4 linked regions of the Lonchura striata genome follow. Each later gene encodes a partner of the first gene's protein in a complex. Links are inferred from orthologs where the notes say so. Each region holds a gene or a part of one and is shown on either strand. Other genes may lie near its edges. The genes, in order: STRN3, STK26, STK24 and SIKE1.

Region 1 (7,572 bases):
CCCTAATCTTTGTACATGGTTAATCCCTTTCTGATATTGTGACTATTTTATCTGCATGTATCCTTATGAATGGCCTGGATTGTTTTATAGATGAAAATATTAAGACCAGAATGGTTTTTTTTAGAATCTGCACAAATGGTCTTATCCAGAATAGATTAAAAAAAGAAAAAAACGAATAAGGTTGTAACAGAGGTAGAACCATAGTAGCACTCAAAAGTGTTATCTGTAATTTATGAGACAATTATTCACAGGATTAGAAAACATTATCAACAGCTTTTGAATCTGTAGGAAAGAGGTCCACTCTTTCTGTAGCCATTTCTGTATTTTCCCACCAGCCCCAAAGATAGCTTTCAAGAAATTTTGTTCATATAAATGGCAGCAAAAGCACACAGTTTTGTGCAGAAAAAGTGGAATAAATTAACAAGTTTGAATAATAACTTAGTAAAAATTTACTTAAAAAGTAACAAGCATAGATGACTTTGAGAATAATGCTAGTGTTAAAAAAATCTTAAGGGTTTCTTTATTTCATTTAGAACTAATTCTGAAAAAAATCCCTTGTAGTAGTAAAAGCATTTGCTTGCACAATTTAGGCAGAAAAGGGAAATGACTGAGTTTTGTTTCTAACAAACAAAATTTATTTCTTCTCTTTTCATCTTGGCTTTCAGATATAGAAAACACGTTAAAATGAGTTTTGCGTATATAGGATGTACAGAAGCCTGTGAAGTATAATAAACAAACAAAAGCATATCTGTGCATGTTGATGCATAAAGAAACCCCATTTCTTCAAGTTGTTTATAATTGAGAAGCTACCTTTTAAGATCAATAATCAGTACTCTACTTAAAAGCCAGCTACCTTTCCTCTGGTACAACTCTTACATGTTTTTCTGAGCATTCTCATGCACATGTCTGCGTGTACCCATGCACACACACAGAGATTACGATGCTTTTATACATGCAGAATCAAATGGTTCAAGGGAATTGGTGACAAGATGCAAGCCTTTCATATCTCTGCCATTATTTTGCTCATTTTAGTAATGAAAAGACATTACTATCTGAAGGCTGTTTGTCAGAAATGAATAGGCTCTCTCATTTCAGGTCACTGGACAACTATCTGCATTACAAATGCGCTTAGGAACTGAAGATTGGAGGAGACTATTGAGATCCTGATGGACTGTCAAGTCCAACTCTCTCCATCCCAGTCAACCATGCGTTAGAAATTTTGTCCAGAACAGCCTATGGTATAAGCTTCCTTGCATGTCCTGCATACCCAATCTACAAAACACCTGTGGAACTCTATCACTGAATAAAGATTCCCTGTAAACAAAAACCTCAGAAGGTATCGCTTGGGGAAGATGTAACAAGTCTGGAAACTGCAAACTTTCCTTCAAAAGAAATTACCTTCTGGAGTGACTAAGTAGCACTCTACTTCCCTTACAAAATACATCTTCTGTAAAGATAATTTGGCATGCATGCAGATGACATACAGTTTTACTACTGAGATTTAAATATGAGCTGTTACAGTGTGTTAGATGTCACCCTCATTAAAGTATCTCTTGCAGATAAGTATCTATGAGAGAAAATTCATATCATGATTGGCCTGTGTGACTCACACTGCAAGGCTGACATGGTTCTGGAGCTGCATGACCACATGAGACACCTCAAAGTAACTTGTCCCTGTTTGAGTGACACTCCTTTTCAGATAACAGCTGAGACCTCACAGAGAGACAAAGCCTGTAATTCTGCAGATAAAAAGATCTTAAGTCTCCCCATGAGGCCAACCCAGCTGATTCTACATGCAGTAAGATAAAGCATATCTTAAATATAATTTTAATTATTCCTCTGGTATAGATACAAACACTGAATTTAGTTTTTCACAGATTTCACCAATATTTATACATAATCTGACACAAAAAAAAACCCAAAAAAACAAAACCACAACCTAAGTTTGAATTGTACTTGCAGTACAGCTGCAATTCAAATTAGACATCTCTCAAACTAAAACCACTCCAGTCAATGTCTACAGATTTAGAAGTATTTTAGTTATTTCAGCCTAAGAAAGGTTTGCAACATTCTAGGGCTCTTAGCTAGAATGTAAGAGATAAAATCTCACAAAAATGGCATGACTACACATTTACAGAACTGCTTCACCAAGTAAAAATAAATGTTAAATAGAACTATAGGCAAATAATTATTTTGCTCTGTAGGTAAATAATGTACTTCCCTGTCCAACTCTAAACAAGTTGATTTTCTGGATGCAGAGATCTAATGGCACTTTATGTGTGCATGAAATGTAGAATCATCAGAAGTCAGAATAATCTGACTTAGAAGGGACCGCCACAGATCATTGGAGTCCAGCTCCTGGCCCTGCACAGAAAATCCTGAGTCACATCCTGTGCCCCAGAGTATTGTCCAAAAGCTTCTTGAACTCTGTCACTCACCCAGCTTAGTGCTGTGACCACTGCCCTGGAGAGACTGTTCTGGTGCCCAACCACCACCCTCTGGGTGAAGAACCTTTTCCTGATATCCCACCTAAGCCTCCCCTGGCACAGCTTCAGGCCATTCCCTCAGGTCCTTCAGGTCCTGTCACTGGGCACCAGAGATGAGAGATCAGTGCTTGCCTCTCCTCTTCCCCTCACGAGGAAATTGTTGACTGCAATGAGGTGTCCCCTCAGACTCTTCCAGGCTGAACAGATCAAATGACCTCAGCCACTCCCCATATGCCTTCCCCTAGAATTAAAACATTAATGAAAATTTTAAAATGGCTAAATGATAAAGGCATGAAGCACAAGGAGGTGTAACAAAAGGAACAAGTATTTTAAAAATATTTGTTTATTGAGCTTCTTATAGATTTATTGCACAAAACCATGTAGCAAATTAAGACCACACACATAATCAGAACCCTTGGTCTTCCTACTTCTGTTCTGTCAGTGGACAAGGCTTTAATAAAACCACATACTATTTTAAACATTACCAGTAAAAGTAATTTTTGCAGTCTTGTTTATTACTGTGCCCATAAAAATTCATCAAAAAGATGAAACAAGTATGTCTGTGTGGCTTTAAAATAAAACACTGTGTTCAATTTCAGGACAGGGATTTTTTTTAAAAAGCAACCTTAATTATCTAGGGAAGTCGAGGGAGGAAGGAAAGAATAAAAACATTTTCCTTTGCTGTTATCAATATGCTGGCTGCATATAGTAACGGAATTAAACTGTAATAACTCCCGTATAGTCAGGAATGAGGAATGTCCTGAAAAACTGCAGCTAAACAAAAGGTTAAACTAATTATGAGCTAAGTCTCAGTTTTTAATAATGATTAGGTAACTGTCAGTAGACAATGAAAAGAAATCAACTGAGGTGGAAAGGAGCTGGATTTAGATTGCCTAATCAGTATGGAATCAGGAAGAATGGACAATGACATTTTAGTAGGAAATGATTTAATGGAGAAGAAAGGAAGAACTGGATGAACTAACTAAAGCATCAATACATACCTAAGGAGAGATTGGTAAAGAAAGGAAACACCAGTACGGAGACAAACAGTATTTTTTTCCAGTAATTAACAGAATTCCAGGTCTGTAAAGAACTGACCTTTTTTAGGAAACTACCCCTCTAGTGAATGAGTACAGCATGTAAAAATTTTGAAGAGAGGGAAAACTAAAGACCTACCTTACTTAAAATGGGTGACCTATGGAAATAGGATGTGATGGTAATTTTTAAGTATTATGTTTCAGAGCAGTATTTTGCAATCGAAGCAATTTCACCATATTCAAACTACAGCCTCAAACACATTGCTATCACTGATAAAACCGAGCCAGATAAAACAGACCAGGAATTTCTTGCAAAACCGTCCTCGCGTGGAAGAGTTCAGAACAGCGAAAATGGTGCACTCTTCCTCCTCAAGGGGAGAATACATTGCACACATCACAACCGAGGTATCATGAAGATGACCAGAGACTAGCCAGCTTCCAGAAACACACCGTAAATTTAATACATCTATTCTAAACCACCTCCTTGTAGGGCAAACTCAGCGCACCATTAAACCGCGCAGAGTCTCAAAAGCCGAAGTGTGGGACCCGCGCTGCGCTGGCTGCGCGTCCCTTTGCGACGCAGGCCCGGCCTGGCCGCATTCCCGCCGACTCTTCCCAGGCGTTCGGCACTCCCGAGCGGCGGGGCGCGCCTCGCCTCGCCGCCGCTTCCGAGCGTCACCCGGAGCCGACGGGGCCCGCCCGGCCGGGCCCCGCCACCGACCGACCCAGGGCCGGCCGGCCGGGGCGAGGCGGCCCCGCCGCGGGCAGCGCCGCCGGCCCGGGCCCGTCCCGCTCCCCCGGGCGCGGCGCTCACCTCCCTCCGCGCAGGCGCGTCGGCCGCGGTTTCCCGGCAGGCGCCGCTCGCTCCCCGCCCGGCCGGTGGGAGGGTGGGAGGGCCGCGGGGCTGTAATGGCGGCTGGCGGCGGCTCCGCGCTGCGCTGACACCCGCACCCGCTCGGCGCAGCCACCCCGCCCGGCCCGCCCCCTCCTCCCCGCCCCAGCCAGCGCCGCTCGCCCCCTCCCCGGCCCCTGCTCCTGGCCCCCGCCGCGGGACGAGGAGGAGGGCTCCCCGCAGACAATGGACGAGCACCCAGGAGCCGGAGGAGGCGGTGGGATGGCGGCCGCCCCGAGACCGCAGCAGCCGCCGCCGCAGGCGGGTGGGAACATGAACCTGCAGTCGGGTGGGGGCTGCGTGGGGGCCGGAGCTGGCGGAGGAGGGCAACAGCCCCAGGGCCCCGCGGCCCCGGCCGGCCAGGAGGCGGCGGGCCCCGCCGAGCTGTCCCGGCCCCAGCACTACACGATCCCGGGGATCCTGCACTACATCCAGCACGAGTGGGCCCGCTTCGAGATGGAGAGGGCGCACTGGGAGGTGGAGCGGGCCGAGCTCCAGGTACGGGGGGCGAGGGCGATCTGGGGCCGGGCCGGGCGGCTCCGGGGGCCGGGCCGCGCGCGGCGTGCGGGGGCAGCGCTGCCTGGGCGAGCGGGGCCCGCGGGGCCGAGCCGGTCGCCGTGGCTGGGGACGGTACCTGGGTGAGTCCGGCGGGCAGAGCGGCGGCACCGGCGGAGGCCCGAGCCGGGCTCCCTCCCCGGGGCAGCCATTTTGGTTTGTAGCATGGCGCCCGCCCGGCTCCGGAGCGGCCCCGGCCCCGCAGGCCGCTCGCCCGGAGCCGCGGCGCGGGGCCCGGAGCGCGGCCCGGGGAGGGCGGGCGGGTCCTGCGCGGCGCTGGGCTGGGACCTCCGCCCCGCCGGCGGCGCGAGCTGCGCTGCGCCTTGACAGCTGCGGCCGGCTCCCGCAGCACAATGACTCCGGGGCTCCTCGGCCCCGTGCGGTACCGACAGCAGGAGCCTCCGGGCCTGGGAGGGAGGACTGACGCCTCCCTGCCGCTCAGCGAGCTCTGGCTTTGGAGGGAAAAGAGGGAGTTAGGAGGCGGCCCTGCCTCCCGGGCAAGGGCAGGACGAGGAAAAGGAGCTCAGGTAAATCGTAAGTAAAAGACTTAGCCAGGCATGCAATTAGAGACAGGTCGAATCTGATCTCTCTTTCTTTCGGACTCGCTTCTTTGGAGATTTCATATCGGAGAAGAGCGAGGAATCGATAAGTCTGCAGTGTGGTCATTTCAGTATACAGAAAAATACCGGCTTCGTTTCGGGAACGGAAACTGAAGAACTTTTCAGGATAGACAGCAAATGTTGGAGTTGCCACATATATTTCTTTCCCCTAATGTTTCTTTTAGTAATAGGATAATTTTACTAATTATTTTTGCAAGTAGGAAAAAAAATCATGCCTAGACTATTACCAGTTTATGAACAGATTGCAAAATCCACTGAATGGGAGGTATCCACACAGGAGCCATTATATTTTTATAGGACAGAAATGTACATAATAAAAATGTAAAAAAGTATTAGCAGACTTCATTGCTTCCAAAAAATTTTTTGTGATTTTTGTACTGAGTGAATTAGTTTATGGTCTTGAAGTAGTGGTCCATCAAATTGCACTGCAACAGCAGCCGGCGTTTGCAAAGCATTTGCTTTTGCATTTCAGGACCAAGAAGTATATCTGAACCTGGGCAATATTTTAGGAACTTCTTGGCTCTATAGTAAGCATGTATTTGGCGCTATTACAGTTACAACTGTAATTAAGAAATAATTAAGACCCAAAACCACCAAGAGAAACAATTGAAGAGACTTTACTGTTTCTATCACTTAACTTCAAGTCTTACCATTTTAAACCTTGTGGAATGGCTGAATTTAAAATCCACGGTGAACATGGGTGGGTGTTTTTAGTGGAGAGCAATTGGCCGTTTCTCCTGTTTTCTCTAGCGTCTCAGTGATATATTATTACGTTTATAAATAAGTTGTGTAGTGTTATTCATTACCAGACAAAACTGCCTTGAAATATTTGTTTTAGGTATGGGCTTGTTACTTTAAAATGAGGTACTGCTGTACCCTAACATGAAGAGTACTCCGGAGAGTTGAAAAGTTGTGTCTGACCGATTTAGTGCTTCCCTGAACTCACGTTGCCTCTGGACTCCCTAATGCACTCTTAGCCAAATCTGCTGCTTTTTGTTTGTGGTTGCTGTTTGTTGTCCATGGCCATACAATTCTTCTGCATGTCTGTGGAGGCATGGTAGCAGTTCTGACCATGATGTATGTGTGGGTTTACATATATGTGCAAATGTAATGGGACTGAGACAGCAGTGTTGCTGCACAGTGCCTATGCACAAGGTTGTTTTTGGTTGATTTTTTTTTTTAACTTCGGAAGCCCAGGGTTGAAGAGCGGGAGGATTACCCTTGGATTTTAGGTCTTAGCCTATGCAATAGTGAAGACTGATACAGGAGTGTGTTGTGAATATTTTTTGGACATAGATGTTGCTAGGTCCGTGGGATTTTTGGTTTATTCTGCAACTTAATTTGTGAAGTAATAGCATATTTTGTGGCCAGTAAAACTGTAATAGTTTGGACCCCAAACAACAGTTTTGTCCCTTGAAGCTAAGGAGAATGTTAATCATATGTCAAATGTGAGCTTTTTGATGATAGAGGCCTCCTGGGTTGAAAGCAAGACAGGAATTCCATAGCATGACAATAGATAATTTATGTGGAAGTGGGTGTTGGATGATTTAGCTGCAACTCTCCTGATGCAGGTAATTTCATTCTTATTTCTTCATTCTTTCAAGATGACAGTAAACTCTATAAATGGTGCTTCTCAGTGCTGGCCATTGCAAGTTCTTTATAACTTTGCTAATGATGTTTTATAAAAAGCATGGAAAAAGAAAATGACCTAGCAATATGTGTGATTTCATTTATGTGTTCTGAATAGAAAAATTTATTATTACGAAGAAGAAGATACTTTCTTATCTGTGGTATGAAGTATTGGGCCTCCTGTGTGGTTTGTCCACCCACTCCCCCCCCTTTCTTTACATGTGTCGTTCAAGTGACTGGAGGAATTGGCACTCCTACTAGGAGTGCTCTTTTCATAGAGGGGCGATAGTGATGGGAGAGAGGATCTGCAGTAATAGTTTATTCTTTCTGGGTTCTTGTAATGACTTTTTTTG
Region 2 (7,895 bases), on another chromosome or scaffold:
ATTTGCAGCTCACCTAATTCCTCAACCAGAGGTGCTAGTTTTATAAACAGTATTTCCCAGTGTTAGAGTTTTTTTTCCTTCCATGAAACTGTCCAGTCACTTTTGGCCTGTAGCAAATAGTTCACCAGCTTAACTATACCCTGTGTGAAGAAGTGCCTTCTTTTGTTTGTTTTGAACTTGGCATCTGCTTGTTTGATTTAATGATCTTTAGTCTTTACATTGAAGGAGATGGTGAACCAGCATCCTTCACCCACCTCTTCCATCCTAGGCATTTAGCTCAGCCTGATTATTTTCCTTAAAAGTACAGGAAGTGTCAATTAAAAAATAGTTCAGACATTTCTAAGAGGAAGATTGCAAGAAGATGTATCATTTTGCCCTGCTAAGAAATATCATTTTGTTCCCTTTGCTTCTGAGGGAGGATGTGGAGCATCATCCTTGTGTCAAGCACGTACCATTGTTTTCTCCTGAAGAAAATGAATGGTTTTACTATATTACATGAAAATCTCAGTTTTTTACACTTAGCTGGCATTGGCAGACTTTGACAGCTGAATTATCTAAATAATCCATTTGTGCTGGAGGATCTCCATGCACCTAGTGTCCTACAGAACAACTGAGCTGCCTCCTCTGGGGGAACCGAGAGCTGCAGAGGCAACAAGGAAGGTGGGATACTGAGAATACTAGAGAGTGAGGAGAGACAAGATGTGTTCTGGGCATGGGAATGAAGGTGGTAAGCAGAAGTGAATGTACAATGGTCTGGGTTCTAGTCCAGCTTCAAGGCTCTGTAATTTTAAATTATTTATTGGATACAGAGATGTCGAAGTTGTAATAAGGGATTGACAAGGACTACGTTTGTCTCCCTTGAGTTAGTGAGTATCAGCAGCTTCTAGTGCTGGAAATTCTGAAGATCCTAAATAAGTTGCCTTGAAGACAAAGTGATTTACCTAATGCCCATGAATCAGAGACTGATTTATGTCAATGGATTGAGAAATTATGTTCTTAAAAAAACATTTTAATTCTTCCTTTGACATCACTGATGTTCTCATTAATAAAATAAATATGTGGCTCTTTTTCCCCCCTAATTCCAGTCAACTTTTAGCTTGCACAACATCTTTGGCAAGGTGTTTCAGACTCAAAAACATGAAAGGCATTTGAAGTTACTGGTTTGGGATGCTGTATGCCACTTCTATAGGAAACCCTTTAGCTGTGCTGTTTCTTTTGAGAGACAGGTGCCAGGCAGGAGAATTGTGGGTGCCTCTAAATGCATTGCATGGGATTGGCACCACAAGCCCAGGTCAGTGCAACACCAGCCAGCTGAACTTTGCAAAGGCACTGAAGGGTTTGCAACACCCATATCCATCCTGATACATAGAAACTGGGCATCATATTTTTAGACAGATGTGTGAGTTTGCATCAGCTCTGCTAGAACCAGATCAGACACCTGTTCCCTCCCTCCCCCCAGTATACCACTGTAAGGAGTCCTTGGAGTTTGTAAAATACAGTATTTTTATGTTTGACACTCTATTTTTGTTTTATTCATTTATGTTTGAAAGTTTAAGAGACATTTCTACCACTTTTTGTGGTAGGTCTAAAGCAACTAACATGGTGCAGGCACTCTCCAAAAGCTGCATGGTTTTGATAGCTCCCTGAAGTCTTCTGATGTAAAAATAATTATATTTTCACACCAGCAAACAAAAATAGTAGTTAAAAAACATGAAACAGTTGAAGGTCTGACTTGGGTCACATTACTACTGTGAGGCCCTGGGAGCTGTCCTAAGTGAATTATAGACACATTTTAAGTCTTGGAAAACAGCAGCACCAAGTATTTAAAGGGCAGGCTGGTAGGGAGAAGGAAAGGTCTTTCATAGAGCAATATCAGCAACTGACCACCTGTCTTTCTTAATGCACAAACTAGAATTTGCTAATTACAGAGGGGAATACAATATTACAGCCCTTTTCTTAGATGTTATGGTGCCAGTCTACCTCACTTCACAGCCTGGCTCAATGATTCAGTCATTGCATGACCAGCTGATTACCTAAGATTCCCTGACAGGTTTTCCTTCCTGGCTCAGCTCACCATGTCATTCCTGGGCTTTCCGACCTGACTTTTCACAGGATGTTTTTCTTTGTGTTTTTGTCACTGCAGTTCCTTAGTCAACCTGCCATGCACAGAAGACAGCTATAGATGTACTTTCTGGGGAGAATACCTTATCACATGATTCACAGTTGTCCTGCAAGACCAGAACTAGAACTCTCTTAAATAAATCTACTACAGTCCCTTTCATGTTATATTAATCTGCATGCAAGTCAGAAATACATAAAAGGCCAAAAGTCACAGTATGTGGCCCCAAAATAGGAAGAATGGATTGGCAATTAGTAGTCTCTGGTACAAAGTAAACAGGGAGAAAATATGTATAGCATCAAGACAAGGCTGAGATAAACAATTAGCAGGAATCTGGAGAGAAAAATCAAGGTAATATATGGATAGAAAGAGAAAAGCAAAGCCTCAGAACCAGAAGAGGAGCAGCAGGTCTGCAATGCAGTAGCAGCATGAAATAAAAATCATCCTATTTCATTTGTCAGGATTTTTTCAGGGCTTATATTCTAAAGATTATTAAAAGCTAGCAGGAGAAGTGATTTAAGTATATTTGAGCAGAATGAATCAGGCCAGGATTCAAAAGTACCATGAGTGAATATTCATTCATTTATTTGCTGAACCACTGTACATAATTAAAGATTTTTGTCAGTAGAAATCCCCATTTCTTTCCAGAAGTTTATTAATGGAAAACATTTTTGAATTTAATTATATGGTATCAACTTTCAGAAAATACTTACCTTAAACATTCCGCACATTAAAATGGACTCCAGGTAGGCTCATAAGTAACTTAGATGTATAACTAAAACACAGAAGCCTTTTTAAGTCATGCTATTTTTTAAAAAGGTGCAGAAGAAAGTAAACACTTTAGTAACAGTAAAGGCTTAACAAACTGGCAAGTTGAAAAAAAAGTATTCCACCACGATCCACAAGCCCGTCTTTGACAAACATTACTGTTTGTTTTTTGGTTCAAACCACAGTGAGTTAAGGATGGAAAGACTGCCTAACTTTGAAATTCTTGTCTTCAGCTTGTTTTCACACAACCTTACCTTAAACAGAGGTGTTTTGTGTTCCTTGCCCAGTGCAACATTCCTCTAAGTCCTAAGAGAGGGAGACTGCCTGCTGTCACATCCTTTCTGAAGGGACCCACCCTCTCAGCAGGATAGCTGTGGTATGGCCAGCAACCCAACACCTCCAGATTACCTTACTTTTTCTTGGCTTTTAGATCTAGAAACCTGTGAATTTGAGGGAAGCCTTCGCATACCCATGAGGATATTTGTGATGGATCCATGATTTCTGTACTCTTGGTCAATGGGCTTCTGGGGAAGACTAGTGCCATAAAAGATGTCAGTTTGAGATTTGCTTTAGTAACCGGCAAAATTTACATGTATAGGAACATGAATCACACACACTAATGTGTGACTCATGCATGAATGGGGAAAAAAGTCACTTCAAAAATACTGTTATTTTCCCCTCTCTAGGCCCTGGTAGAATGTTGGGGCAGCCCAACTCACCAGGAAAGCAGGTGGTGGTGGTGAAGGACACAGGTATGTGTTGGGACAGCCCTGCAGCAGCTGGTGCAGAGTGGGGAGAGCTGCCCAAGGAGGGGGGAACACCCCCAGGGGAGCCAAGAAAGAGCCAACCACCCTGAACTGGGAGCTGAACCTCCAAAGACCAACTGGACCTGCCCTCACCACCTCTGCCACAGCTGGCTGTCAGGAGCACCCCTGAGACAAGAAGACATCACCACTTTTGTCACAAAAGCAAGTAAACCCCATCAAATATTCCCTCAGTTATTTGTACCCGGTTACTACCCTGTGTCTCCGGGGTGCAGGAGCCAGCGGCACAGGGGTGTTGGGGACAGTGGGGCCAAGGAGCAGCGCTGTGACTGTGCAGGAGGGACCCCATGACAGCACCCAAGGGGTCAGCATTGCTGCTGGAGAGGCTGCACCTTAGTGCTGCGTCCAGTTCTGCGTTCAGGAGGGACACTGAGGTGCTGGACTGGGTCCAGAGAAGGGCAGTAGAAATGGGTGAAGCACCTGGAGCACGGGTGTGATGAGAGCTCTCGAGGGAGCTGGGGGTGTTTGGCCTGGAGGAAAGGACGCTCAGGGAGGACCTTGCTGCTCGGTGCAGCTCCTGACAGGAGGCTGGAGCCAGGTGGGGGTCGGGCTCTTCCCCGGGGAACCAGCCACAGGACAAGGGGATGAGATCTTCACTGTGCCAGGGGAGGCCTAGGTTGGACATCAGAAAGAATTTATTCACAGAAAGGGTGATTAGGCTTTGGAACGGGCTGCCCGTGGAGGCGGTGGAGTCACCGTTCCTGGAGGTGTTTAAGCAAAGACTGAGCGTGGCACTCGGTGCCCTTGTCTGGTTGGCAAAGTGGTGTTTGCCATCGGTTGGACTCGATGACCTCAGAAATCTTTTCCAAGCTATACGCTGGTCACTCTGTGACAGCCGGGCGGCCGCGACCCGGGCCGTGCTGAGGCCGAGGGGAGCCGCGGCCCCTCCCTCGGCCGTGCCCCGGCCCCGGCCCCGGCCCGCCCGGGGAGGCGGGCGCCGTGACGCCAGGGCCGTGCGGCGGCTCCGCCCCGCGAGGCCGGAGCCGAGACGGAAGCAGCCGCCGCACAGCAGCCGCCGCCTGCAGCCGGAGCCCGACATGGCGCTCTGAGCCAGCCCCGGCCGCGCCGAGAGCCGCCACCCCGGGGGGCCCCGAGCAGCCGCCCCCGCGCCGGGACCGGGGAGCGGGGCATGGGCAGGGCCGCTGCGGGGAGCCCGGCGGGCAGGGGACAGCGGCGCTAGCGACCCCCGCCCGCCCTTCGCGCAGCGCAGCCCCGCGGCCGCGAGGTGAGGAGCCGGCGGCGGGCGGGGGCCGGCGGGCAGGGCGGGGAGGGAAGGAGGGAGCGCGGCCCGCGCTGAAGCCGCCGCCTCCCCGCCGCTTTGTCCTTCCAGGCCCCGCCGCCGCCGCCCAGGAGAAGGAGGCCGAGATCGGGGAGCAGCGGGCGGCGCCCGCCCGGCCGCCGCAGCCCGCCATGGCCCACTCGCCCGTGGCGGTGCAAGTGCCCGGCATGCAGGTGAGCTCCGCACCGGGCCCAAAATGGAGGCGGCGGGCCCGGCCCGGCTCCGGAAGCGGCGCTTGCGGCCCGCACCGGGCGGAGCCGCCGCCGGGGCGCGGGGGGCCGCGGGTGGGCGAAGCGCCGCGGGGAGGCCGCGTTCGGGCCGGGGCAGGCCGGGCCGCCGCCTCGCCGGGGCAGCGAGCGAGGCAGGGAGGGAAGCAGGGGCTGCTCCGAGGCAACGGGAGGCTTCGGGGGCCGCGTACCTGCACCCCGGCGGAGGAGAAGGGATCCCCCTCCCTCCATGCCTCCCTTTGTTCAGGGGTGGCCGCGCCGCATCCAGGAGCACGTAAGAGCCTCTAAAACTGATTAAAGGCGAAGTGAAGTTAATCGCAGGGTGTGTGGGTGCGCTGTAAATGACATAGCAGGCGCGCTGGCAGGCGGACCTGCAGCAGGACTTCCCCACCATCCTGGCGCTGGGCCTGTAGAGCAGCTTCCCGGAGGACCTTGGGATTCACGGAGAGGTGGTATCCGCCAGGTCTGGTGGGGACAGAGCACCGGCGAACGCAGTCTGTCAGAAACCTGCACCTCTCCTCGCCTGGGAATCAGGCCTGGTGTCACTTTTCTATGTTTGTGTTACCTGCTTAGGAAACAAACAAGTTGGTGTGTTACTGACTTTCATAGGAAAGGTGGAATACCTCTGACTCTTCATTCTTACTCCACTGGACAATCTGATACAAATTTAGCCAGATATCTTTATCAATGTAAAGATTAGCTAATTTCAGTGCTGATTTTTTTTCTTGTCAGGTACTGGCAGCCCAGTCAGTGTTTTTGAGCATTCTCTTAACTTCTAGGATAGTCATACCTGTATAACATCGGAGGTTTTTTTCAGTTCAAATACAGAAACATTTATGATACATTTCTGTGTACGTGAGAGATACAGTAAAGAGTTCAGGAGGCTTCAGAACAGAAATATATCTTTTGGTCAGGTAACTTTATGACTTCTACAAAGTGTAGAATTGATATATAAACAGTATTTACATATTTATAAGTATAAGCCTGTTACAATGCTATGGTTTAGTTTACCTTTCTATTTTCTAATAATTTCTAGGCTTTCTGAAATCTGTTAAATTGTGGTAATTCACTGACTTTCTGTTTCTATAAGAGATCACAAGCCACATCTGCTCAGCCTAGTTGTTCCATTGTGTCAGAATAACTGTTGCATTAGAACATCTTAAAGAAATTTTGTTATAAAAGATTTAAAGGCTTTAGTCTGAGCTTCTTTAATTACAGCCTCTGGGCTTTCTAGTGTGTTTGTATTTGGGAAACTTCTGTTTCAACATTCTAGTTTGTCAATTTCCTATTTTTATATCTGCTTAATGTATTGCTGTTCTATTTTCTGTAACTGCCAACACAAAAGGACCTTGAAATTATTTAAGGTTCTGTTTTTTTCATTGTTACACCAATAAACTTTATCCTAGTAGCATCCTTATCCCCACTAGTATTGTTAGTAGTTTAACTCACAGCCCTTAACATATATGAGTATGTTAAAAACATTTTTTAAACTATTAGATAAATCCAGATGCATAGAATTAAAACACACTTTTTCCCTTGGTGGCCATCTTTTTATGAACGTGATTACACAAGTCCTGAAACCCTCAGAATACAAAAAAATAGAATTTGGTGTGATATTAATCTGCTCATCCTTCTAGAAGAGTCCTAATACAGAGGGTTTTCATTTTTAAAAAACCCTAACCCAAACACAAAAACTTCATGACAGTCTGAGATGGAGGAGTTTCCTTTGGGGTTTTTTAACCTATCTGGACTATTCAGGCAGGATCATCTAAGTAATGGTAAAAGCGTGCCTGCTTCTGCTCAGTGTTAAAGTAGGTGGGTGGTGATTGATTAAAGAAGGAATAAACAGGTTCCTCTGTGATGCAAGATGTAATGGTTATGTTAAAACTACCACTGTGGAATAGTCACAGTGATATTGTCAGAGAATGTCACAAGTTTGAAGTTTTCAGCTTTACTGTCATCTTATGCTTTCCCTTACATTTGATTATACAAAAAAAAAATCAAGAAAAACACAAAAACAAACATGTTATGTAATTTCCATACTCCAAAACCAGACCTTAAGACATTTTATTACCAAAGTATATCAGATGCTTTTTTGACTCTTTTAAGATTTTTCACCTTATGAAGAGTCGGGTCCCCTTTAAAAAAACTCAAACATGGAAAATTACAGAAAATCACAGAGAGTTATTTTGGTGGACTTGCAGTTTGACTTTAGTCCCCTGACAGCAATTGCAGACCCAAAGGTGGTATTATCTGTTGCCCTTATGAGTAGTTACAGAGCCATTTGTTTATGTAGTGGTTGCATTCTGTTTAACCTGTCTTGTGTCCCTAACAAAACCAAATTTTATACCTAACAATTCTTGCTTCTGCAGACAACTTCCTAAACACATTCATTTTCCTTGCTCCTTTGGAAAGGCTCCCCTTGGTGCAATTGTACAGAGTTAACTTAGCCAGCTGCCTAACTTCTAAGCCCATTCAGTAAAATCCAGGTACTCAGTGTATGTATAACATGAGTGGTCTGAAGCTGAACATGATACCACAAATTATGGCATTTTATGCAGAATCCAAGATGAGATGGAAAATGGAAAGGATAATGAGCACAGTTAAGGTGTCCTGGTTACAGGAAGCACAGTTTGCAGTGAGCTTGATTGTCAGGTTTGAGGTTTTATTCAGTAATG
Region 3 (6,892 bases), on another chromosome or scaffold:
GGGGAATGTAATTTAATAACCAAATTTTTTCACCTTCAGCATTCACAAGACTTAGAGTAGAATGCCATTGTGGATTTCCAGCTCTACTTCTGTAATTGACAAAACCTTTTTCTGACAAGTGGCTTGTTGAACCAGAACATAAATGCACAGCCAAATCTATCTGTAGAAGGCAAGCTGTGTGCTTTTGAAACTACACAAGCTTCCTCTGCTGGAAGAAATACACAGCTGCATGGCATCTTGAGAGGAAGAAAGGCTACATCACAAACTTTGTAGAAGGGACACCCTTTCACATGGAAACTGAAAACTGAAATTTTAAAATTTTGGTGGAAACAGAGAAAACACCAATGATTTGTAGGTGTATCATTGCTGCATAGTTTGGAAGTACACTAGAAACTAATCTTGTGGTGCATATACTGCCAAAGGCAGGGAAAATATCAGTCCTGGGCAACACAGGGATATTTTTTGTTATTTATAGAAAATGTGCTTTTTATCACTAAAGATATATATTTTTTAAATAAAATTGCATCCTACCCTTGTCTGGTTCCTTGGCTCTTTCCTGGGAGAGTAGTTGCTGTTTGAGCAGAAAGGAAAGCTTAAAGTTGCTGTTTGATCTCCCAGAAAGGAAAGCTTAAAGGACTTGGTATTGATCTGAAAAGAGAAGCCATAGTCAAGATGACTCAGTGTGCAGAAATGAACATTACTTATACCTTTGGAGTTTAATTCACTGATTTAGATATTGCATATTTATAAAGTTTTCCCAGAAAGCTGCTTTTCTGTAGGGTGACATTGAGGATATTTACAGCACTCATATTCTGACATTCTTCTACTCTGCTGAACCCCCATCTGCTGGCATGTCACTCAGCAGTCACGCACTCTGAGATTGGGCTTTGTTTTAGTTTCCCCCTCATGATGATTGGCAATATGAAACTGTCAATTTTCTTTAGTCTCTTTCCTAGCTCAGTCATGGATATGCTGAGCAAGATGGGTCCCATCTTGGTCCTGCGACAGCCTACTGGTAACACCCCCCACTGTGAAAGGTTTTTGTCTTTTTCTTTCCTCTCCAACCTCAGTTAGAGACCCATGTGAGGACTTTCCCTCTTGCCCCAAGAACACTTAAATTCTTAAAGGTCCATTTGTGAAGATCCTTGTTAAAGCTGCTGTGAATTGTGTGATACAGGCAAGAGTCACACTTATTATTATAAATCAAAAAAGAGCTGGGTACCTGGTGTACCTTTCATCTTAGAAAACACCAATGACCTTACATTGTTCATTTGAGAAGTTTCAGTGTTTGTCAGTAAGGAAAACATTTTTTCTTCACACATATTTATAAGCAGAATTTCACAGTCACAGTCTTTACAATTATGTAATATTTTTCTTTTGTAACTCTTATCTTACTGTTAGAGATGGAAATGTTACAATTTATGGCTTAAACATAACCAGCAAGGCAGAAAATCTCTGCATATGCAAAGTATTATGCTAAATTGAAAGCAAACCAGTTATTGAGAAGTTGATATGTAAAATAAATTGAATTTTTGAATGCTTGGAACGTCTGGCTTCAAAAAGATACATCAGAGATCTGTCTTAATGATAAGAAGTGTTTATTTCCGAAGTCTCAGTCATTGTATTGGGATGGTTGGCTAGCATAACATATAATCATTCTATTTAACAAATAATTCTTCAAGACTAGCCTTTCTTTGGACTATAATACACTTTTTTTTTTCTCAGAAAAGATTAAAAAACCCACAAAAGGTTGAGAAAACAAGAGGAAAATTTGAAAGGCTTCTGTTATTAAGTCTGTGAGATGGAGCTGAAATTTAGACAGAAAGACTAGCATTTACAAAATGAACAGCAAACACACACATTCATTATTTTAAAATTACATTCAAAACAATTATTTAAAAGTTTCTACAAGTTCTGGGAGAAATTGGAAGTGTATCATAACATGAGTTACAGTATAAAATTTAGAAGCTGACAAGATATTAGACCTTCTAATGCATTGTTCTGACTTCATTAGAACTTGGACTAGTATCTGGTTTGTGACTGAAGAGTTTTGAATCTGCTCCTTTGTTTTCCTGCATTTGGCAAGTAAATCTGCCCACAGAGTTTATTCCAAAGCCCAAACAATATTTTTTTCAGGCACAGAATCTTGTTGAACATATCATGCATAACTTCAAAACCTTGAGATTAAATAAATCCACGATGGTACACAAACAACAGGAAGACCTCACAGTGGCCCCAGGCCAGGAGCTTACACGGTGGAAGTCACTTCAGAGCAGCGTGGGAAATTTTCGGTCCTTATGCGCCTTGAGCTAGAGAATCTACCAAGTCAAGTATTTTCCTTGGGAAAATTAATTATGTCCCAAAGAATATACTCATGGACAGAAAATAACAGTTGTATACCTTTCATAATACAAAAGAGAAATTTTTATTTTGATTCCACACTGAATGTGCAACTGCAGAAAAAGTAAAGCAACTAATAAAATCCATAATGGCCATATAGGAAAAAAACCCAACAAAATAAAACTGCATAAACAATAGTAAAACTGACATTTTCTCAATTAGGATTTTTAATATTACGTGATGTAGCAGAATTTCAATGATATTCATGAGACAAAGGAAAAGGTTCACTTGTAGCCTACTGACTTTTTCCCTAGCAAGTTAGAAAAACTTACTGCAAACAGTGGAGCAATTAAACATTTTTTTTTTTTTAAGAACATTGCAAAAATGCTTTAGAAAACAATCAAAATAGAGAGTTTTGATACTGATTCTCATAACTGTTATTTGATTTTTGATTGAAATAGAACACAAATGAAAACACTTTACATTTCTTTGAAAATTACATACCAAGCCAAACCCCACAGAATCTCCATTCTATCCCAGCATTAAAGAAAATTTCAACTCCTTCATGAACAACTGAAAAAATAATTTCAATATTTCAATTTTCAGTTTCTAGCCATCATCCCTTTTTGTTTCACTGTACTCAAGGGCTGATATATTTAGTTTACCAGTTTACTTAGTTTATTTTCTCAGGTAAAACACCAATGTGCTTGTGTGTGGGTACACTTATCTACCTGCATAAGGCTGTTGGCTAATTTTATTTGAATAATACTTTGACATAGACATCTTAGGAATATTTATGTATCTCCAAGTTTTAGGAAAACCAGATTGGGCATTAACTCAGCCACATAAGAAAACAAAGATTATCCAAACTATAGGAAAAACTTGAGTGGAAGTTCCAACCAAATTTTCAATAAGACCATTTTCTATTTTCAAATGTTTCCTGCAGTTAAGAGATTTGTACAGACTCTAGTGAATTATCAAGTGAAAAGCAACTTATGCTGCAGTGGATGCTGACATCATTTAACAAAATCACTTGGAAAGACAGCGAGCCTCGTTATCCCATGGATGCCAGACCTACCGGCTGACAGGTTTCAAAAACTTTTAACACTCATGAAGCTCCCTACGTTTTTTTGCCGGGGCGGAAAAATGAGAGAATTTTAGGACATTCCATGGCACACGGGAAGCTGTGCGACTGCGCTGTTAAATTCCAGTTGTAACAAAGAATAGAACATTGTCGAGTTCTCGAGGGATTTGCATGTACGCAGAACTCCTGTGTGGGAGAGACCTCAGTGCTGACCCACTGTGCTCCCGCTTGGGAACTACAGGAGAAGCACGACTGGCATTTTGGGTTGCGGCTTCTGACAGGAAGCCAAGCGCTTCCTTCTGCGGAGCACCGGGGTTGCGGTGCGTTCCCCGGCCGTGGCACCGGCACCGGCACCGGGACCGGGACCGCGACCGAGCCCGGCCCCGGCCGCGGGGCCCCGGCCGCGCCCATGGCGGCCCGCGGGCAGGTACCGCGCACGGCAGGCGGGGCCGCCGCTGCCGCTCCGCCCCCTCCTCCTCCTTCGCCTCCTCCTCCCGCCTCAGGTTTGTCATCGTGTCGCCGGCACGGCCCGGAGGAGGAGGAGGAAGAAGAGGAGGAGGGATGAGGAAGCCGCTGCCGCCTTTGCATCCGTGACGGGGCCTGGAGAGCCCGGGCTTGGGACGGCCCCTTTCCCACCGCCGGCGCACAGGCGCTGCTCGCCCGGGGGAAGGGCCAGGAGGAGGAGGAGGAGGGCGGCGGTGCTGTGTGAGAGGGAGCGTGGAGATGAGCTCAGCTCTGTGCCCTGGAGCCGCCTGAGGAGACTCGGCTGCCTCCCGGCCTCCCTCGCCGCCGCCATGGCTCACTCCCCCGTGCAGGCGGGGCTGCCGGGGATGCAGGTGAGCAGCTGCCCCAAGGGCGGGCACGGACGCGCACCTCGGGCCGGGCTGGGTGCAAAGAGGGGCATTCCCGGCGCTGGGGGGACAGGAGAAAGCGGCTCTTGACCCTGGCCCGGCCGGGCTGGGGGCGGACGAGCGGGATGGAGACGAACCGTGCTGTCAGCGCTTGGCGTGGCGCCCAGCGAGGTCCCTCCGCCCGGTGGATCCCTGCCTGCCTCTCTCCCTCCATCCGCCCTCGGCAGCCGCTCTGTCCCCGCAGCGGGCGGAGCGCGGCGTGCCGTGTGGCCCCCTCCCCGGCCGGCAGTTCTCCGTGTTTTAATCCCTGAAGCCAGCCACGGCTCAGTGGGCGATTTTCGGCCCCGTTAGTTTGGGGTGCGTGGGGGAAGCATGCATAAGCCAGTCGGTACAAGCAGGGCCTGGCAATGTTGACCTTCAGCGCATGCTGCAGTGCCCGTGTCTGTGGTGCTGCTCTGAGGTGGGTGCTCGGGGATCGGGTTTGGCTCCTGTGTTTGATTCCGAGAGTTCGTCAGCTGCTGTTGTTACACGGTGGAATTTGCTCGTTCTGTGTCTTAACTATGTATTTGAAATAACTAGTGTGGTTTTGTGCTGACTGAGCTGGCTTAGTCTGAGCTCGATTTTCTTGATTTAAATGGCAACTGCTGCCAGGAAAACATTAAGGTCAGTGGTATCTGTGTGTTGCTATACTAATATTCCCCACATCCGATTAGAAACTTTCTTGCCCTTATCTTCAAAGGGACAACTTATGAATGACATGTAAGAGTTTCTCTTAAATTTGTCTCCTGGATTAAAAGTGTTTGTGCATCACTTGGTTAAATATGGATTTACCATAGTTTGTTTTATTGTGAGTCAGGATTCTAAGTCATTAATTTCTTTTCTTTCCAAAATCTGAAGATTTGAATTGAAAATATTACATGCTTAGGCATAGCATGAATTATGTGCTCATACATAGTAGTGGATGCCCTGTAGCCTACGTAGGCCCACCCTCTGAGCTAAGTAATCTATTGCTGTGTAGGTCCTGCTGTTGAGAGTTCCAGTTCACCTTTCAAATATGAGCAGTTTGCCGATTGCCAGAGACAAAGAAATGGTTTCTTGATTGACTATGGATATTGTTTGGGCTTTTTAAAAATTCCCTTGAGACATATTAGACTAAAACAACTGCCTGCTTTGAGACAGAACCTATAACACTTTAGCATTTAAAAATCAGATTTGTAGCTGCTTGTAAGTGAGAGAACGAAGATTATTCCATCAGTATGCATGTACTGATGATGTATGCCACTGCATGATCTGAGGACTTGTGCTTTTTATTGGCTTGGTTTATTATTTGGTTTGTAGTACTGTTAGCTCTCCTGAATGTGTGGCTCTTCAGGGTTCTTGTTAGTCCACATAATTTGGGACTTTGCTTCAAATAATTTTATTCAAAATGGTGTTCTTTTTCTCATGATTTTTATTCTGTTACTGTTTGAGTTGCTCAAGTGTAAACTTTCATAGTCTAAAGAAAACCCCCAGAACACCAAACCAGAGATCTGCCGATAGGTAGAGGCATAAATTCTGTGAGCAATGTGAATGCTGCTCACTAATTTTCTGTGCCCAGTTCAAGATGTCTGTATCCATTTCCATTCTGTCAGAATATATAGCAGTTTTATAGTGGTCTGTTCTCAGTACACAATTCTCTTTGATTTCACTTCCAAATAAATGTTCAAAGAGTAAAGTACATACCATGTGTGACAGCTGCTTAGATGAGAAAAAGATTTGGGACTTTTTTGTTGTGTAGAAGAGAGGAATATAGCTTAGTTCTCTGGGTTATAATTAAATTGCCTAAATCACGGGACCATCTCTTCTTTTTCTGTAGTGTGATCCCTCCTCCCCACCTACCAGCTTCTGCCACAAACGGTGGAAGCAGTGTCAGTGACAAGTTATGCAGCTTTCTCTGACATTCTTTGCTGTACTCACACAAGAGAGCAGCCATTGTGCTTGTGTGAGCAGGGTAACTTCTTAACCCCAAAAAATCACTTGGAGGGACATCACTTTTATTAACGCTGTTTGGCCTGAGCATGGTAGTGTCAGTAGAGTAGAGGAATGAATGATTAATATATTTCCACCTAAGCAAGATGTCTGATCCATGTTTGAAGAGTGATGCATAAAAAGTGAGTGGGTAGAAAGTGAGCCAAAGGAATGAGAAACTGTGGAGGAAATGTAGGATGGTGTTGGAAGGTTGTCAAAACCTGAGATTTGCTGTCTGCTGCACAATGGGCATGCTGTAACCTGAATTGAAATAGAGTTGGGTTTTGACCTAAATTTCTGTCTGTGCAGTTTAAGTTCAGACTTGAAGTTTCTGTTGTTGTTGTTTTAAGGGCTCTGTGTAGATACGAGTTTGAGTGTGCAGGGTGAAGATCCATCATGACTAAACTGAGGATGTGCTGTCTTGCTTCTTCATGCCTCATGAAGTGGCCTGAGGAGAGTGTGTGTTTGCCTGTAAACGTGTGAGATTCCTGCAAGACTGGCTCAGAGTAAGTGTATACGACCTTGATTTTCAGACTGGCTTGCATTTCAAGGCTGTGGCAAGCTTATGGAGCTTCTTTAAGGAAGCTGTATTTTAAATCAAGTACTTTGT
Region 4 (7,788 bases), on another chromosome or scaffold:
CTTCTATTATTTATAGATCTTCCAAAGGTTCAGGAATGCTGACACTGTTGGGATTGTTCTTCATGGGTGTGGATGAACCTCTCAGTCCCGGGTGAGAAGCAGCCCAAAGCCTTGTGAGTACTGATTTTGTCTGATGGTGTTACTTTGCACAGTGAACAGCTCCCATGTGGCACTGCAGAGAGATGTTCTTTAGTGTGAGATAATAGAAATACTCTTTGTTTTGCATCAAATGTATCAGACAACTACTCATTAGCAAACTGGACGAGAAATAGCTCAGAAGATGCATTTTTTTGTTAAATTCTTAAATGCTTTTGTGGGATTAAATGATGAAATAGCAGACCAGAAAGGAAGAACAATTTAAATCTTTTTAAGACTCATTTTTTTCTTAATCATGAAGTTGTTGGATAGTTTCACCTTGAATTTTCTTACAGGTTTGTAAGGCCAACCTTGAAGAACTAAACATTATGTGAAGTTTCAGTTCAAGAAAACTGAAGATGCCTTAAACTCACCTGAAAGTCTCAGGACCCACAAAATGTTACTGTTTCTCCTGTTTATTCTCTTAAACTTAATCTGCAGTGGCTGAAGGCAGAGTAGGTACAATAAACCCATCCATTCAACCTTGACAAAGTTCCTGGGTATCCTAACACCTCCCCCTTTCAGTTCCCTCTGCCAAAACTGTTTCCCCTTGGCTGGAAGACCAGATTTGTTAATCAGATACTCCAGCAAGGCACAAAGTGGAAGAAAGCAAAACTATCAATTAAGTTTGATTACAATCCCCAGAGTTGGTAGTTCATAGAGAATACTCCTAACTACAGGCACTGCAGTACTTTATATGTACAGCAAAGGGAAGCCAAGACCTCATTTCCATAAAGCAGATCTTGACACTCTATGTTAAGCATTACAAAATAATTATTCTGGAATGCCTTGCTCAGCATTTTATCAGCAGTGGTCTTGCTGCTGAGACTGAACTAACTGGATGTATCCATTTATCAATGATAATGTTTTTCCTTTTTTCCAGCCTGGATTCCATCTTGAGGACATTTGTTTTAACAGTAGAAAGAATATTAGACTCATAAGTGTGAGTGCTGTGGTGCAGTGGGTGACTCCTCAAGATTTATCAAAGCAAGATAATTAGTATGAACAATAAGACTGAGTTCCTTGGTAATAATTCTTGTCACAGGACAACTCTGCATTATCCCACTTTAATCTACCTTGAAGTATGGGCTGGGAAGTGCAAGAGGAGGATTCCTTTGGGCTCCTGGCCCGTGAGTCTCTGTGCTACACTTTTGTTGAAGGCAAAACCAGTGAAATTGTGACAGTAGCTGAGAGCTTGTCTTAACACTACCACTTAATTTTAAAAGCAAGCAGTCAGAAAGTGTTGGGGTGTGTGGTGTGAGAGGGGGCTGGTTTGCTTTTTAAACAGCTGTAACTGCTGAAATAGTTGGGTTTTGAAGGAAGGGCTTCTAATGGAAATGAGAATTGTCACATTCCATTTTTAAAAGCTTGTGCCCAGCTGCATCACCATGGGAGACTTTTGCTTTCAGACACTTAGCCACAATGTTTTTACCTGTGCTGACCACACTTACAATTAATATAATTTTACTGAAAATCCAAGAAGTATTCTAAAGATTTGCCCTTTATTCTGTTCTCTAATTCCAATATCTAGATGTCACTCCATCTGTCACAGACATTGCCATTTGATATTGATCTGTTCATAGAATTCCAGAATGGTTTGGATGTGAAGGGACCTTCAATCCCATCCTGTTCCACCCCTGCCATGGGCAGGAACCTTCTACCATCCCAGGTTGCTCCAAGCCCCATCCAGCCTGGCCCCTTGGACTCTTCCAGGGATCCAAGGGCAGCCCCAGCTGCTCTGGGCACCCAGTGCCAGGGCCTGCCACCCTCACAGGGAAGAATTTCTTCCATGTATATAACTTGAATTTCCACTCTTTCAGCCTGGACCCATTTCTCCTTGTCCTGTCCCTCCAGTCCCTGATGAGGGGTCCCTCTCCAGCTTCCCTGTAGCCCCTTCAGACCCTGGAGATGGCTGTGGGGTCTCCACACAACTTCATCTTCTGAACAGTCTCTGCTCTCTCAGCCTGTATCCATAGGGGAGGGGCTCCTGTGCCCTGAGCAATTTTGTCCACTTTATGTCCAGCTAGATTTCTTTTCTTTGTGATTTTCCTAATGTTAGCAAGAGCCTTCTCAGCTGTACTCAGAACTGTTATGTATTTATCCCAGCACAGAAATACTATTTCTGATTTTCCAAAGATGGCCTGGGAGCAGTTTGGGCTCTGCAGCAGCATTGTTGTTCTGAGTGTCCCAGTACTCTGCTATCCTGCCTTCACTTCTCCTGCTACAACAACCCCATGTTCTGTTTGACAAAATACAGCCATGTGGTTAAGAGTTATTAAAAGCATTAAAACATTAACCTCTCATAACCCCATTTTTCACTTTGTACACACACATAAGTGTTTAATCGAATTGAAGTTAAACACTAAAAAGTTTGAGAGGCCAAATTTATACATTCTATTTAGTTTACACAGAATTGCTGTGATAAGCCAAAGGAATTACAAGGCACCCCTACTCAGAAATGCTCATCTGTTGATTTGTTTAAGCTCTGTTGCTACACACTCAAAGTTTTGGTGACAAGCATTCCCAGCATTTAAACCAAGGATCTTTGTCCTACTGGGATCCTCTCTGTGTCCTGGCGCCACAGGAACTCACTCTGCTGTCCCTTGGAGCTGGACAAATGATTCCATGTCCAGATCTGCTGGAGAGCGGCTGAGCCCCAGCCCTGAGTGGGAGCACGGGCTCAGGGCAGTGTGACAGTGGTGTCATAGATTCTCATCTCTCTCATCGTGGAATTTTATTCCTAGAAGCCAGAATGCCACAGAGGAAATAAACTGATCCTGAAATGACAGTCTGGTACAGCAGTGCTGCCCTCACCTACCCCTGCTCTTGCCTAGGGCCAGGATGGCACCTCTGACACCAGGGGGAAGTGAGTGTTAAATCAGAACTATAAACACAAGAGCTGAACAGGCAGCTCAGATACATCCTGGTGCAGCTCCTGCAGCGATGAAATGATGAAATGATCCTTCACTCTGCCCAGACTGTGGGTTCCTGCGGCTGATTTCCTAGGGATGAACTGGAATTCCCAGGGCCACATCTCTCAATGGCTCATTGAGTGCCTGAATTAAGTGGAACCTCAGGGACTGCAAGTTTGGTTTCACAGAAATCCCTGTGTTGGAGAAAGTGAAAAAGGAAAAGATGGCTCTGGCACACAGAGCTCGTTCCATGGAGCTGTGTCAGGCCTGCTCTGTGAGCCTGCCCAGGCTCTGTGGAAATGGGAGCTCTGGGAGAGGCTTTGGAGGCAGGCACAGAGCTGGGAATGGGAGCAGAGGGAGGCAGCAGCAGGTGCTGAACTGCACACGAGGGGTCATGTGAGGATGTGAGAGTGGGACAGGAAAACCAGCGCTGGCTAGGGCTTAGGGACGATGTGTCCATTTTGGGACAGGACGATTTTACCCAACTTGTTCCATACCCAGGATGGTCCACAAAGCAATATTTGTCAGTTTTCCAAGTGTTCGTGACTTGCCTATTAGGAAAAAGGAATTCCAATAAACTGTCCTAACTTTCTAGTAGTCTCTAATAAGATGAAAAATAGGGAAGGACCAGAAGGTCCTTATATGCTATAACATGGTCTGGGCTTTTATTTCCAAACTAGCAGAAGGATTACATTTCCCAAATTTGCAGAATAGTTCTCATACTTTACTAATTAATCTGATTCTGATGAAATATTCCAACTGCAGCTGCTTACCCTGTTCTCTTTTGCTTTGTGTGCATATTTTGAGATTGTTGATTTTATAAAATTATCTCGTTCAGCACTTCTGCACCAGCCTTGATTATCTCTGGGATCATAAAGAACCTTCATCTGATAGAGCATCCTGGAGTTTTCTCATGTGTCTGTGTAAATAGGGATTTAAATTAGGAATATTATTCAAATCAAAGGCAGTCCTGCTGAAATATTATTGTTGAAAAACATTGTTAATGAAGCTGGTGCTATTGAACAAAACTTTGTGGTACAAAGCCTCAAGGACACCCCAGATCACCAACAGTAGCTTCAGTTAGCAAATAAGAATCAAAGCAGCGAGTCAGCATTGCACAGCTTGTTATTTTGAGTGGCGGATGTTTACTGTTGGAAGAGACAAACAGCAGGATCAGATAAGATGGGAGCCCCGCAGATCCCAGCCGGGATTGATCGCGCTGGGAGGGAGCAGCCGCAGAGATAAGCGGGACCCGGGGTCAGGGCCGCCGGCCCTCCGCAAACAGCCTGTGTCGATCGGCGGCCTCTCGGAGCCGGCCTTGTCCCGGGCTCCCCCCACCGCGCTGGGGCCGGGGCCCGGGGCTCTCGGGGCACGGGGGGCTCGGACACGCGGGACCGCGGCGTGGGCAGCTCGTGGGACGGGGGCACATCCACCTGGGGCAGGCGGCTTTGGGGCGCCGTGTGCCGGGGGAGACCGGCTTTGGGGCGCCCCGAAACGCCCCCAAACCACCCCAAAACCAGCCAAAGCTGCAGAGCTCCGAGCATCCCCCGGGAGCGGCGGGGGCAGCCCGGGCCCCGCCCCCGCTCTGGCCCCGCCCCCGCTCTGGCCCCGCCCCCCGGGCCGGCCGTGGCGCTCTGGCGCCGCCAGGCGAGCCGCTGGCGGATGGCGGGCTCGCGCCGGGCCGCGCCTGCGCACTGGCGGCGCCGTGGCCGCGGGCGGAAGCGGCGTCCCGGCCCCGCGGGTTCGCGTCCGCCCGCGCCCGGCGGCGGGGCCGGAGAGGCGCCGAGAGCGGCTGAGGGGGGAGAGCGGCGGCGGGGCCGCGCGGGACATGGGCCCGCCGCGGGGGTGAGCAGCGCCGCCCGCCATGAGCTGCACCATCGATAAGATCCTGACGGACGCGCGGACGCTGCTGGAGCGGCTGAAGGAGCACGACACGGCGGCCGAGTCGCTCATCGACCAGTCGGCCGTGCTGCACCGGCGCGTGGCCGCCATGCGGGAGGCGGGCGCGGGCTGCGCCGAGCAGGTGAGCGCGGGCGGGGCGGCCCCCGCGCCTCGGCGGGGCCCGGGCGGGGCGGCCGCACCGGCCCCCGCGTCTCGGTAGGCCCGAGGCGGCCGGACCGACCCCCGCGTCTCGTCGGCAGGGCCCGGGCCCCGCGGCGGAGCGACCCGACCCGTCCCGGCTGCGGCCGCACGTGGTGCTGGCGCAGGAGAACACGCAGATCCGCGACCTGCAGCAGGAGAACCGGGGTGAGCGGGGCCGGGGGCGGGTCCTGGCGGGCGATGTGCTGCGGGGCCGCGGGGGATGCTGAGCGGTGTGCGGGGCTGTCCCGGTGGGATGCGCGGCCGCTGGTCCCGGCCAGAGGGGCTTGTCGAGGAGAGCAGCGGCGCTGATGCCCCGGTGGGTCGCGGGTCAGGGAGTCTCCTCGGCCGAGGGGGTCCGCGCAGCCCCACCGCAGTGGCCGGGGCGGGGAGCGGTGGGGCAGCGCCGGTCCCGCAGCTGGTACCCAGCGAGCGCCTCGGGGCTCCTGTGGCTGCCGGTCGTGGCCCTGACGTGCTGTGTTCTGCAGAGCTGTGGGTCTCACTGGAGGAGCACCAGGACGCGCTGGAACTCATCATGAGCAAGTACAGGAAGCAGATGTTGCAGCTGCTGGAAGGGAGAAAACGTGAAGAGGCAGAGCCAGTCTTGAAAGTCCATCAGGCTAATTCTGGGGTAAGGTGGGATGGGGACAGGAGAGTGCTCAAGACCCTTGTCCCCTGCTTGCTGTCATGCAATCTTTGTTTCCATTCCTGGAGTGTCTGTGCCCCAAAATACATTTTCTCCAAATCTTGACTCTCTTTGCTGGTATTTTACCCTCTGCTCCTTTCAGAGCACACAACCAGTAATAGCTGTCCCAGAGGACACTGAGAGGCACAGCCCCTTCACAGCCCAGGTGGAGGCTTTTACTTTTAACTGGGTGGTGAATTCCCTGGCTTAAGCTTAATGTGCCTGATCCTCTGTAGTAAAATCAAAGATGTACAAGTTGTTATAATTCCTATTCAGTAGCTGTAACAAAGGGGAAAACTCCTAAACTCTGTGAACTGTATATGTTTAGTTCTTAAGCGATTTTACTCCCTAGTGTTTTTAAATCCAGATACTCTGTGTAGTAGTCTAAAGTGTCCTTTTTTGTACATTGGGCTCAGTGACTTCAGTACTCTGAGATGTGGCTGCTGATAACTGCTGCCTGTTTCCTATTAGGTATCTATTAACAATAGAATAATGTTACATTTCCATTTAAGACTTAGGAATTGTGTTAGGCATTTTTTAAAATGCATTTTATCTGCTTAGAGAACAGCAGGTTGGTTCAACCCAGTGACATCTCATATCTTGTAGTTTTTTAATTGGAACTGGAGCCAGCCTAACTCCTCTCATGTCTTTCTGTGCACTGATATGTGGCAATTCACTTCTCTTTTCTAAGTTGCTTAACTCATGTGAAGGTGTAGCTGGGTTTGTTTTCCAGTGCCACCCTGAGTGCACGAATTGCTGTTTATCAAGGTTTTACATTTGAACAAAACTTGACAATGCAAAGCTGAAAGGGCTCTGAAGGAATCCTTGAAGGGATATCCCTTGATTGTCTCAATGTCTAGACAAAGTCTTCTGTACTTCAGGTGAAGTCCATGAGTTTTTTTCCTCCCCACCATTTGGAGAACATTAACAAACTGCTTATTTCTTTAAAAGAACTATGTTCTCAGTATAACCATCTTCCTGTTTAGAAAAAATCATAATCTTTCTTCCCAGAAGTCTCTCGTGTTCTCCAGCTGTCTTCTGAATGCTCTAATTTGTTTACATTCTTTCTGAATAATGGACTTCAAAATCAATTCTCTGCTCTGTGATAAATTTATCTTTCAGAGGTAGTAGAAAAACTATGGGCACTTAAAGAAACTCCACCCTGTCACCTGTCACATTATGTGATGTATTGCTCTTCAAGCAGGAACTGTTGCTTCATACTGGAATTTGTCAGTGTTTGTTCCATGTGCATTTCTGACCTTCAGCAAAATGCATTTTCCAGAGGATTATTGCTGTATCTAGACAAATTCTGTAAAATCTGCCTCAGGAGGCTCTGATCTTACTTGCTCTACTTTTGTTGCATGATGTTTTTCTGAGGTAAAGTTGTTTACTCCACACTTGAAATCATCTTTGCATTTATTTTTGGTGTCTTAATAAATTCAGTCAGGCTTTTCTAATAAAGCTAAATAAAATTTGCTGCCTACTAATCATGAACCTGAATGCTGTCTCAGACCTTGGCACACTTGAAATTATTTCCTTTTAAGTCAGGGTGCCTTATCTTGATGCCTGCTGTGTCTCTCTGCACTGTTTTCACTGATAAAGGACTGCTGATAGAGGACAATAAGGTACAAGTTCTTATTCTTGAGTATACAAGACAGAAAGGCTTTCAAGTCCTTGGGAGGAAATTATTAAAATTCAAAACAGAAAGAAAATCCAAAATCAGGAAGATGGAAGTAAGTGATTTATAAGGGATAAATTATGACTGTTGCTTTTGCCTCAACTTACTGAATGTATTAATTTTATGTCTTTTAGGAAATTGAAAGTCAAATAGACAGAATATGTGAGATGGGAAAGGTGATGAGAAAAGCTGTTCAAGTGGATGATGAGCAGTTCTTTAAAGTTCAGGAGAAACTGGCTCAGTTGGAGGTAAGAACAGAGGTCTCCAGACTTTCTCTGTGTTTTCTATGTTCCTGTCAA

What was found.
Region 2: STRN3 (region 1) and STK26 share a complex: the UniProt entries of both Homo sapiens proteins name them as parts of the core of STRIPAK complex. The link is inferred for Lonchura striata from reciprocal best matches to the Homo sapiens genes STRN3 and STK26.
Region 3: STRN3 (region 1) and STK24 share a complex: the UniProt entries of both Homo sapiens proteins name them as parts of the core of STRIPAK complex. The link is inferred for Lonchura striata from reciprocal best matches to the Homo sapiens genes STRN3 and STK24.
Region 4: the proteins of STRN3 (region 1) and SIKE1 are in contact, whole or in part, in a crystal structure (PDB 6AKL), measured with the Homo sapiens proteins. The link is inferred for Lonchura striata from reciprocal best matches to the Homo sapiens genes STRN3 and SIKE1. Residues at the interface, in NP_001077362.1 of Homo sapiens: Arg176, Leu179, Tyr182, Leu183, Val186, Tyr188; in NP_079349.2 of Homo sapiens: Glu96, His97, Ala100, Leu103, Ile104, Ser106, Lys107.

What each region holds. Positions count from the first base shown.
Region 1 is NC_134608.1:27,182,285-27,189,856, forward strand, and holds the start of STRN3 (striatin-3), read left to right. Parts: upstream 1-4,557; 5' UTR 4,558-4,601; coding exon 4,602-4,913; intron 4,914-7,572. UniProt on the Homo sapiens protein: Calmodulin-binding scaffolding protein which is the center of the striatin-interacting phosphatase and kinase (STRIPAK) complexes.
Region 2 is NC_134616.1:7,630,381-7,638,275, reverse strand, and holds the start of STK26 (serine/threonine-protein kinase 26), read left to right. Parts: upstream 1-4,892; 5' UTR 4,893-4,936; intron 4,937-5,041; 5' UTR 5,042-5,121; coding exon 5,122-5,163; intron 5,164-7,895. UniProt on the Homo sapiens protein: Serine/threonine-protein kinase that acts as a mediator of cell growth. Modulates apoptosis. In association with STK24 negatively regulates Golgi reorientation in polarized cell migration upon RHO activation.
Region 3 is NC_134604.1:77,899,004-77,905,895, reverse strand, and holds the start of STK24 (serine/threonine-protein kinase 24), read left to right. Parts: upstream 1-3,889; 5' UTR 3,890-4,218; coding exon 4,219-4,260; intron 4,261-4,513; exon of another isoform or gene 4,514-4,699; coding exon of another isoform or gene 4,700-4,735; intron 4,736-6,892. UniProt on the Homo sapiens protein: Serine/threonine-protein kinase that acts on both serine and threonine residues and promotes apoptosis in response to stress stimuli and caspase activation.
Region 4 is NC_134632.1:1,913,420-1,921,207, forward strand, and holds the start of SIKE1 (suppressor of IKBKE 1), read left to right. Parts: upstream 1-4,788; 5' UTR 4,789-4,911; coding exon 4,912-5,070; intron 5,071-5,188; coding exon 5,189-5,294; intron 5,295-5,614; coding exon 5,615-5,757; intron 5,758-7,623; coding exon 7,624-7,737; intron 7,738-7,788.